Nothobranchius furzeri: one gene and its partners. The protein of the gene in region 3 interacts with the protein of the main gene of each other region in a pairwise test. Links are inferred from orthologs where the notes say so. Each region holds a gene or a part of one and is shown on either strand. Other genes may lie near its edges.

Region 1 (4,039 bases), on a different chromosome or scaffold from region 3:
GTGTGTTACTAAAGCATGACTGGACAGCTCTAGTCAAGCAAGACTAGAAAAGGACTCGAGGAACAGTGAGCAGGCAGCAACAAGCAGACTGTACACCAACAAACCACAAGAATGTGTAGCTAAACCTCGCCAAAGTAAAACAGCTATCGAAATTCAATGGATGAAAAGATTAAAGCTGAACAAACAAGTCAACTCACAGCTATGCTAACTTTTCCAAGTATTTCTTCAGGAATTCTTCTGGCTTCCTTGAGAACCTGGTCCAAAGACCCACCATCCTGTACAGACAAAAGTTTACTTTATAAAGATTAAACTTTATTAACAAGTCACATCAACAGAACCCAGCTCCTGTGTGCGCCACCTGTTGTTAAACACATCATGACTGCATGTGCCCGTGTCAGATCTGAAAACACGGGTCAGATTTGGTTTGGTCCAAAATCCCTTTCAGCAAACCAAACCTGAACAACAGAAGTCACACACTAAAGAACAGTTAAGCACAGTAGCTGTGGGCTATTTAACAAATGATTAATAAAAGTAAACAAAAACACGGCCCAAATTACAGACCTTTAACTTTTACACTTAATGATTAGCCCCAGACGATGATTAGACACGACACCATTTTATAATTTACAGCGATTGAGCCAAAAGCTGAGCAGCTTCTTACCTCTTTGACCACTTTTATGAATAATGCAAAACATTTCTGTTTGTTATCCGTTAGTTTAGCATGAAGTGTTAACTTGATGTGAATGTTTACTGCTAAATATGTTGTGAAAACTCAGTAGTGAGTGTTGCATCATCTCAAAATCAGCACTGATAAGATACTGAAGAAAAGGAAAACATGTTTGTTGATTTGATTTAAAATGCAGAAGGAAATTTAAACAGAATACGCTTAAAGAAGATGAAAAGTGATGCAATCTTTGCTACACTTAGCAGATTAACAGGATTTGTTGCACTGGTATAGTATGAAGCAATGAAAAAAACTCTTGACGCTAAGGAAATCTAAAAATCACCATTAAGTTAATGAAGCCATTAATGTTTCATACTTAATGTCTGAAGAAAGCTTTAGAGACAGTCAGTCTCTCTCACCATGTGCTCCATGCAGATGCTGATCTCTCCATCACTGTAAAAGGCTCCATAGAAGCCCACGATGTAGGGAGAGTTGCATTCATGCAGCACCTGCAGCTCTCGGATTATCTGGTTTCTGATGGCAGGCTTGATCTCCAGGTGGATTAACTGAGAAGGAAATGGTGAAACCATCAATTTCCGTACAAACGCATCGATCAGGGACAAAATGACAAGTGGGACAATCTGCATGCACACTTCAAAGCAACCAATGAGAGACATGCATTTAAGTTACATCATTCAATCTCTGAACGCTTTGAGGAAACATCAGTGGACACGTCTGCACACGCATATGGACAAGTTTGAGTTGCTGCAGAATTTCTGAGAGGGTCTGCAAACATATACTGGATTGTTCCAGCAGGTTTGGAAGTTTTTTTTAGTTTAGGAAGGCCGTTTAGGTTTTGTGTTAGGCAAAATGTCAAGACTTGCAATAAACTAGAAACAGGGTTAAAAAAAATACAAAAACAAAAAACCCACCTGTTATGACAAATCTGTGTGTTTGAACTGCCAGTAAATGCCCTCACACATGACCTTTGTATTTTTCCCAACACTCCTCTTACAGAAGTGTCACTGAGGATTTATATGAAATAAGTGGTTCCCATGTAAATGTTCACATTTAATGTCAGAGTTAAACGGAGTTTAATTTTGGTGAAGGACTAGAATTCTCTGGTCACAACCATGTGTAGAGCTGCAAACGAGGGTTGCGATGTTTCAAAACTGCACTGTAAAACCAAGAAAGGCTGCACTCCGATGTTACTCGGGTAAAGAAACGCAGCACCAAAAGGAGCGAAACAACGACCACATCAAAGCTAAGAGGCAAATGTCACAAAAGCATACAAGCAAAACGCTGGCATGCCTAATCTCGCTGGCTTCATCTCCTTCCGATCGTCCCACTTCAGCTGCAGAGAAACACCCAAAGGCAGATGATCACCTTTCGAGCCATGACCAAACCCGAGGGTTTGTGGCGAACCTTGTTGACCACTCCTCCGTTTCCAGCACCCAACTCACAAATCGGGTCAAAATCTTCATCCTTCAGCTCCCCGACCTGGGCTTTCTGGGTGAGGAAAGCTTCTAGACGTTTTCTTTGCTGCTCATCGAGGTCCAGTTCACCCAGCTTCTTCTGCAGAGCCTCCAGGTTGGCTCTGATAAGAAAAGACAAGCATTAAAGATGAATAAAAAAAAATAGGGAATTTTATTTTTATCCTGATGTGCAGGTCTTATCCGACATCTGGAGCTGTCCTACAGCAGCTTTAGGCAACCAAGCAGAAATCAGTTCACTGATTGTGTGTTACTTTAAAAACTTTTACACAGAACGTGTATATTAACACACCAACAAAACACAATGACAGTTTACCGTCGGTACTTACTCTGATGCAGCATCAATGGTGTTAGAGGTGGCCTGTCCCTCCCCAATGGGCGTAATGTTGAGAGGCACGGGTCTTCTTTTAGGAGCCATTTCTAAATCCCCTAAACTAAGAACTCCCTCTCTGTAAAACACTAGATTTGAGTAAACTGGGCTAATCCGACCTCGCCCGTGCTCGAGAGTCCGTTCGAAAAAGCAACAGGAACCGCTCTAAGTGGCTAGTTACCGTAAGCAGAGATTATACACTTTTTGGAGCATGTCACTTAGCTTGTTTGCTAAAACCCAGCATGCCGATGTGCCCTTCAAACGTCGGATAGCTTTGTCGGTTCATCTATAGGATTGTGTAGTGACAGGTGTTCTGTATTCAGCTCCTTGTCGGGTTTTCTACCTGCTGCTACTAGCCATTAGCCACATAGCCACTGCTAGCTCCAGTGAAAATATGCGCCTCTCAGCCGTAAATATGCAGCGGTCCTCGTCTCGAAGTGCGTAGAAGGCAAACAGCTCGGATAGACCGAGCCGGCGGACTTGTCTAAATTGTCCCCTTGTGTTTTAAGAGGTGTGCAGAGGGTCTGAAACGCTCCAGAGCCGCGGTGCTGTCCGCTGGTGCCTTCTTACAGGAAGCAGCAGCCTGTGAGAAACCCCACAGGGGAGAGCCCTGCTGCTTCTGCTTAAATACCGCGAGACAGAAACAGAGTGACGAGTTCACGCGAGAACAAGTGAAGATGTAAATTGGGGCACATTTGTAGATTGTTAGAAGATTTTAGTGTAGTTTTAAATTAAATTACGTGAAACAATGACTGTTTAAATAAAACTCTCCATCAGTCGTTTCCGAACCACGCGGAAAGGTGCATTATTGCCCCCTACTGGACACAAGGGGAAGTCAAATTGTACTTTTCATTTTATGGCTCGATCAAGACGACCAGGCACAATTCCTGCGCAAATGAAGCGAACAAAAATATAGTAGGTCATGTAGGCATTTTTTCCTTCTGATGATTCTAGTTTTCCAGTTCAACCATTTTTCTAAACTGGCATCCTATACATTTAAATTACAGAGAAAAGACACGTTGCTGTGACAGAAAATCCCGTTAAATTGGCTAGGGTAATTTCTTTGAGTCACTTGTTGTGCACTGAACTGCATTTGGTTGAATCAAATCTCAATATCACACTGCAATGTGACCGAGAAGTGACTTAAAAACTGACTGAGGAATTGGATAGTTGTCAATAGTGCATAATTTTATATATCTGTCTGGATAGATCAACATAATATGCCACTACACTACTACTCACCAAGTATAAAATTTGAAATGTTCAGGAATTACAAATGCTGACAAAATACATTTATTTTGACTGTTAATCTGATTGAGATCACCTGTAAAGGGCAGAGATATAATTGGCTGAATCTGCCCTCGTTAAATCGTGTCACTCAAGAACAAAAATTCCAAAATTAAAGACCAGAGGCATATTTAAGAACCGGTTTTAATTCAACACATCAATAACAGCTGTTAGATTACGTTCATTTCAAATTTTACAGTTTCATCCTCAACAGGCATCAAAATG
Region 2 (3,025 bases), on a different chromosome or scaffold from region 3:
TATCAATAATTGTACGACTACATAATAATATATTTGTTTGAATTATATATAAAACACATAGAAAGAATAAAACTAGTTAAGGATGTGAGGAAACAACATGGCACACTGATTAAGTGGTTAAATGCCAGTTAAGGTGGTATCACTAGTTGTTTGGTAGTGATGGAATCACTGTTTTGGTTTTGTGACGATAAAAAAATACACTTCTAGAAAAAAAATTCTGCTTTACTTTTAGTAGTGTGAGCTTCAACAATTCAAGTATTTTGGCATTAAAATTTGGAGCAGATGTATGAAATGCGAAATCACTTAAAGCTAAAACCAAATTACATTATAGAAAATAATACATTTTCCACATGGGATATAATTGTGTTTATATAACTTAAAGCTATTAAAACATTTTTCCCACTATCTTGATGCTCATGGGGATCCCAAACATTTGCTTAACTCAGGTATGCCTTGGGCCAGCTCTGACCCTATTTTAACCAAAAAATGACAAAACATTATTCATTTAATTCCTTTTTATTTTGCGATCATACTTATTAAATAAACTCTTAGTGACATAACTTTTAATACAAACACTTAGTCACAGGTTCCATCTTTCCATCCATCTCTCCACCTCTCATCCACACGTGAACAATCAAACTCGGGTTTTCCCAGCCGGACGTTGATGTCGTTGTGAAGATGGCAGAACCACTGAGACAGAGCGTAGCGGCTGCTCGTGTCCGGCTGTTTGGTTTTTAATCTGCGGGAAGCACATGGACATAGTTGGCCTCCAGCATTTGTACAGAAGAGTAACTTATTGGATCTGAAACCTGGGTAAAATGGACGGACCGGTCTCTGAGATCTTCTGCACATTCTTCACAAGGGAAGAACCTGGAGAACAGGTTGATGAACTGCCCCATGTCCTGCTGCTGGCTGGAAGACGGACGGTCTGGGTAATACGCGGCCATGGTGTGCAGAAAGGACCAGGTGCATCTGCCCAACTCATCCCTCTCCAGTGGACACTGGGGATCTGGTCTCACATTTTCTGCAGGACGAGTTTCCTGTGGGTTCAGATTTCAACACACAAAAGAGACAAAGGTCATAAAATAATAGGATCGGGTGAGATTTACACTATAAATAACAGTTTACTAACACTAAATTGGTAACAAATAAACATATGGGACAGAGAAACACGTTAAAGCCCTTCAAACAGATTAAAACCCTTTTTAATTAACTTAAAACGTCATGTCACCTGAGCAGCATCAGCATCCTGCCGTTTCTGTAGCTTCACCCACGATTTAAAATCCGTACAGGCTCTACATGGCTTCTTCCTTGCATCCCCGGATTGTTCATGCCCTTTACCGGAGCTGTCCTCCTGTGGTCTGCTGCTCACCGGGAAGGGGAAACCTTCGAACCCCGGCGGGCTGGCGCCTGACGATTCAGCGGCACCAGCAGGCGCAGCCATGTTTCTCTCCTGCTGAGTTAATATTTATCTAATTGACCTCGAGTATTAGTAAATATTAAAAATGTCTGTAAACTGGAATGAAACTAGCTACGACTGGAAGCATAACTGGGTTATACTGTTAACTAAATCACGTGTATTTAGTCATAACTCCACAGTGTAATTCGTTAGAGGGTCCGTTTGGTTATTCTTGCGTTTCCTTGTTTCACCCGAACGTTTTATAGCGACGAACCGTGTTCCGGTTTGCAGTCTGCGTGCGCGGCTGATTGAACCTTCTGTCAAAGTAAATTTCTTTATCTATTTAACGAATAAAATAATTGACAATGTTCAGGGTTTATTCTGACGTAAATTTCATTATGTAAGCCTTTTCGTGGACGACTATTGATGCGGTTTGTTAACCGTTAAGTTTGACTTGTTTGCAGGCTAGCCGGGCGGCTAACAAAGCTAGCAGCAGTGAGGTGACACGTTTCTGTTGGATTTTGTCTCCCCGACAGAGTAGCTGCATCTCACCTGCACCACCAACATGGGCATTCTGGAGAAAATCGCCGAAATCGAAAGAGAGATTTCTCGGACACAGAAGAATAAAGGTAACAGTGTAGCCGCGAAGCTAACTGGTAGCTACAGAACAGGCAAAGTTGGTGTGTTTTGGACTTGTTTTACTACGTTTGTGGGGTCACAATGGCAAATAAGTGGCGGTGTGTGTGTGTCAGGTGTTGGTGTTAAATTATTATGTCCAAATAAGGACAGAGCTAATCTGACTTTATTCCTGCAAAGTAATAATAGTTTTGTCTTGGTTGGGTAGCCTTTATTTACAGACATGTAATCAAGCTAAGTTTAATTTTTTATTAAGGTGTAAACACACTGTAATTATTTTAAAGGGTTGTTTGTTTTCATTTTTATGTCAACGTAAAACGTAAGCCACAAATGTGTTTTTAAACAATATTTTATCTCATGGGTTTTGAGTGTTTACTATAGTCCACTGTAGAGATGTAAGAAAACACCGATACCCAGAGAAATCGCGATGTTTTGTTATGATACTGAATCGATATTTGAAAGCAGTGTTTCAGTTCTTTTATTGACAATTTTCATGCAAACTTTCACTAATTCTTTTGTGTGGTGCAATTCAAACTCCATCTGCTAGGTGGCAGCAGTTGTTGTTGCCTTCACTCTGACAGAAAAACGAATCCTCGCAATACCACTGGATGCGTCATTTGGAATCCTAGGATGTCCAAGGAAGATCCCACCTTTTTCGCCTCTGATTGGCTAGAAAGGCTCTACGAACTATGATTGGCTATTTCGTTTAGCAGCAAACCAGATTATTATTATTATTATTTTTACTATTATGCCACCAGCAGAAAGCTGTTTTGGGGGTTTAGTAAAGAAAATGTGAGCTTAGCGCTATAATAACCATTCTGTCCTGTTTTGCAAAATATTTCACATTGAATGAAAAACGTAAAATGTGAATTTATAATCTAGTTGCATTTATCAAACTGTTGGACTTCCTTTATGTCTCTTGGCTCTCAAGCATTAGAGTACATAGGATAAACATATGTGCCTTACCTGGGTATGAAATTTGATAAAACT
Region 3 (2,897 bases):
AGAGCAGCTGTCAGTTAGAATAAAAGGCAGACTCGGTGAGTGTCTGCTTCGATGGAGAGCAGACACGTTGGGTGAATGGACTTCTGTGTCTGAGGCTTCTGTCTCTGTGCTGCATCACAGCCTCGCAGCAACCTGCCTCCCCAACCACTCTGCCAGCACGCCGCCCGCCGAGCTGCACGGGAAAGTGACGCCAGCGACAACCCACTCATGGCAGCAGATTCCCGCTGAGCCTGTGCAGGAGGTTGAGTTTGTTGTTCCACTATGTAATGCTATGACAAGCAATGATCGCCTGCAGCAGGGCTAGGACATAAATGTGACCACAGTGTGTTATTTAAATGTTCAGCTGCAGAGAAATGTGAGGAAAAATAACTGTTCAAAGGCAAAATCTTATAAAGAAACAATAATAAAATCCATCTAATTCATTTTGGATAGTGAGCTGAGCCTGCAACAACAAAAAAAAACATATGAACAAATAAAAATTATGAATCACTGACACAATCTGCACTTAATATTTTATTTTTTGCTTGCATTGTCGCGATCTTGGCCACTTCTCGGACAAACAAAAATCACTTCAAAGAGAAATGGTGCAGAGTTAAACAGTGGATGCATGCACAGTAAAGACATCCCATGTAAAACTAACACATTGGCTCCGGGTGGAGCTTTAATTGGAGGAAGTGTTGATCTGATTAAAGAGCTTATCCTTTATGACTTGAGACATCAGACCGTGAATCGCCTCTATGGTCGTCTTGCAGCTAAAAAGAAACAGAAAAACAAAAAATTAGTGCGACACAGAGATAAAACATCTCTGCTGGTGTTAGAAAACATTATAAAGACAAAACAGAGCTTCAGTAAAGTTTGTTTTGAATTTTAAAGTCTGAATTTTTCTCCTGATATTTTGTTGATAATTAATTCTGTGGAAAAAAGCAAAGAAACAAATTTTTGACACAAAAATAAAGAAAGGTACATTAGACAATAATACAGTTCTAATGAAAAATCTGAATTATGTGCTTAATTTAATTAAGTGTCAAATGCATATTTTTAATCTGAGTATGGCCCAATATAAATAAAAAACCATTTGCTTCAAAAACTGATTTTTGTCTAGAATTAGAAAAAATTGAACTGTTGATTTAATCAGAATTGTGACTTAAATGGTTCATAAATAATAGATAATATTAATAAGCCTAAAAAGGGCTTTAATTAAAATCTGAAAGTTTACAAAAGTAAATAACAGATTTTATGTCATTCTGTGAAAAAGACTTCAGTGGACTAATGCCAGAAGTCACAGTTAAAATAATAAAATCAATCAATGTGATCCTATGAACCACGAACCTTGAAGAGCCCATGTAAATGATCCATGTGATGACAAAATAAACTAGTTAACATTTGATTTGAACTGTCTAGCCCTATCCAGCTACCTGTCTCGTGTCGCTTTGGCCAGTTTGTCCTCGGACTTCCTGTCGTGTGTGTCTAAGCCGAGCATGAAGCTGCCTCTGCCAAGCTGGGCCTCGGACTGCTCCAGCTTCTCCGACAGGTCAAACACCTGGCCTGTGGTGTAGTCCGAGTTCTGATCATCACACACACACGCGCGCGCACGCACGCACACATGCGCACACACACACACACACACACACACACACACACACACACACACACACACACACAGAAACCAATTCATGCACAATTTGCCAGCAAAAGATTTTTCTACATAGGATTTTTTTTTTTTTTGCAGGAGGCTAACAAATCTGTCCGACAGGCTGCTGGGACACTTTGGTGGTGAATGACTGAAATGTTGACTTAAGGTGAGGCTGCGTTTAATAGTGACACGGGGACCTTGCAGGGTGACTATAGCTCCTGACAAAGCCTGTCGCCCGTGGAGCAGCTCGTTCCTGACATCTAGTCAATTCATCCTCACCCAGAATCCCCCAAAACTCACCGTTTGTTCAAGCCTGACATATTTATTCCCGTTCAGGACAGAGCCACCATGCAAATTCACATCAGTCTCGGGAGAGCGCCTAACTTTCCTACTCATCTTCGTTACAAAAGTCCACATTAAGCTTATTACTAACACTAATAAACAAGGAGGCTTAGCTATTCTGCAGCAATAAATCACAACATCTCAAGCTGCTGAGCGCATGTCTGAATGAGTTATAGTGTAATAATTAACCATAAATCAAAATGCCAAACAATTAGTGCACATTTTGATTTTTGAGCTTGTTTACATACCGTCAGGAGGCTGGAGGAACTTAAGGTATTAACCCAGTATTTGTTCCAGAGGAGCTCCAGGAGTTTTCTGTCAAGGGATGACTTAAAGTAGGTTACCTCCAAGGCGTAATACCTACAAAAGAAATAAATAATAAGGAGTTTCACAAAGTTAAAGTGACCTTAATGCAATGATTTTATTCTACAGCTCCTCACTGTTTACAGTGGACGCCAAAATCTTCAATCTTGTTCAGAGGAATTGTCTGGTACTCTGACGGTCCCTCGTCTGGAGGCTTGTAACCCTGAAAGTGAAGAGAAAAGACTTTTTAAATTAAAAACCAAAGTGAACAGATTTAAATTTAAAACGATTAGCATTAATTGAAACTTATTGTAACAGCACACCCGTGTTTTGTGTCCCAAAAACGTTAAACACATAATTTGCCCGACTCTTTTCCTCTACCTTTGGGTATGTTCTAAAGGCACCGAGGTTGACTTTCCCTGCGGAAATAGTCCGGGTTGGGTCGATCTGTGGAGAGAGAGATACAGTAGAGCAGGAAAACAGGGTCAGAGGTCACGAAAGCCTCCGGGGACCACTCAAACCTGACCACCGGAGCTGTCACAGCACAGAACACACACACTTAATTATGTGATGCCGCTGGCAGCCAAGAGCCGCTGCACCAAATGAAGTGTCCATGTTT

Evidence for each region. The genes of interacting proteins can lie anywhere in the genome.
Region 1: the proteins of cops5 (region 3) and map2k2a interact in a two-hybrid assay, tested with the Homo sapiens proteins (2 studies listed by BioGRID and IntAct). The link is inferred for Nothobranchius furzeri from reciprocal best matches to the Homo sapiens genes COPS5 and MAP2K2.
Region 2: the proteins of cops5 (region 3) and gfer interact in a two-hybrid assay, tested with the Homo sapiens proteins (2 studies listed by BioGRID). The link is inferred for Nothobranchius furzeri from reciprocal best matches to the Homo sapiens genes COPS5 and GFER.

Annotation. Positions count from the first base shown.
Region 1 is NC_091748.1:51,292,709-51,296,747, forward strand, and holds the start of map2k2a (dual specificity mitogen-activated protein kinase kinase 2a), read right to left. Parts: upstream 2,801-4,039; 5' UTR 2,576-2,800; coding exon 2,487-2,575; intron 2,262-2,486; coding exon 2,051-2,261; intron 1,231-2,050; coding exon 1,084-1,230; intron 276-1,083; coding exon 198-275; intron 1-197. UniProt on the Homo sapiens protein: Catalyzes the concomitant phosphorylation of a threonine and a tyrosine residue in a Thr-Glu-Tyr sequence located in MAP kinases. Activates the ERK1 and ERK2 MAP kinases.
Region 2 is NC_091752.1:63,794,437-63,797,461, forward strand, and holds gfer (FAD-linked sulfhydryl oxidase ALR), read right to left. Parts: upstream 1,588-3,025; 5' UTR 1,445-1,587; coding exon 1,232-1,444; intron 1,041-1,231; coding exon 829-1,040; intron 740-828; coding exon 577-739; 3' UTR 501-576; downstream 1-500. Other genes in the region: drg2 (developmentally-regulated GTP-binding protein 2), read left to right, coding at 1,965-2,028.
Region 3 is NC_091747.1:51,739,081-51,741,977, forward strand, and holds the end of cops5 (COP9 signalosome complex subunit 5), read right to left. Parts: intron 2,726-2,897; coding exon 2,660-2,725; intron 2,502-2,659; coding exon 2,416-2,501; intron 2,336-2,415; coding exon 2,224-2,335; intron 1,565-2,223; coding exon 1,416-1,564; intron 753-1,415; coding exon 662-752; 3' UTR 501-661; downstream 1-500. UniProt on the Homo sapiens protein: Probable protease subunit of the COP9 signalosome complex (CSN), a complex involved in various cellular and developmental processes.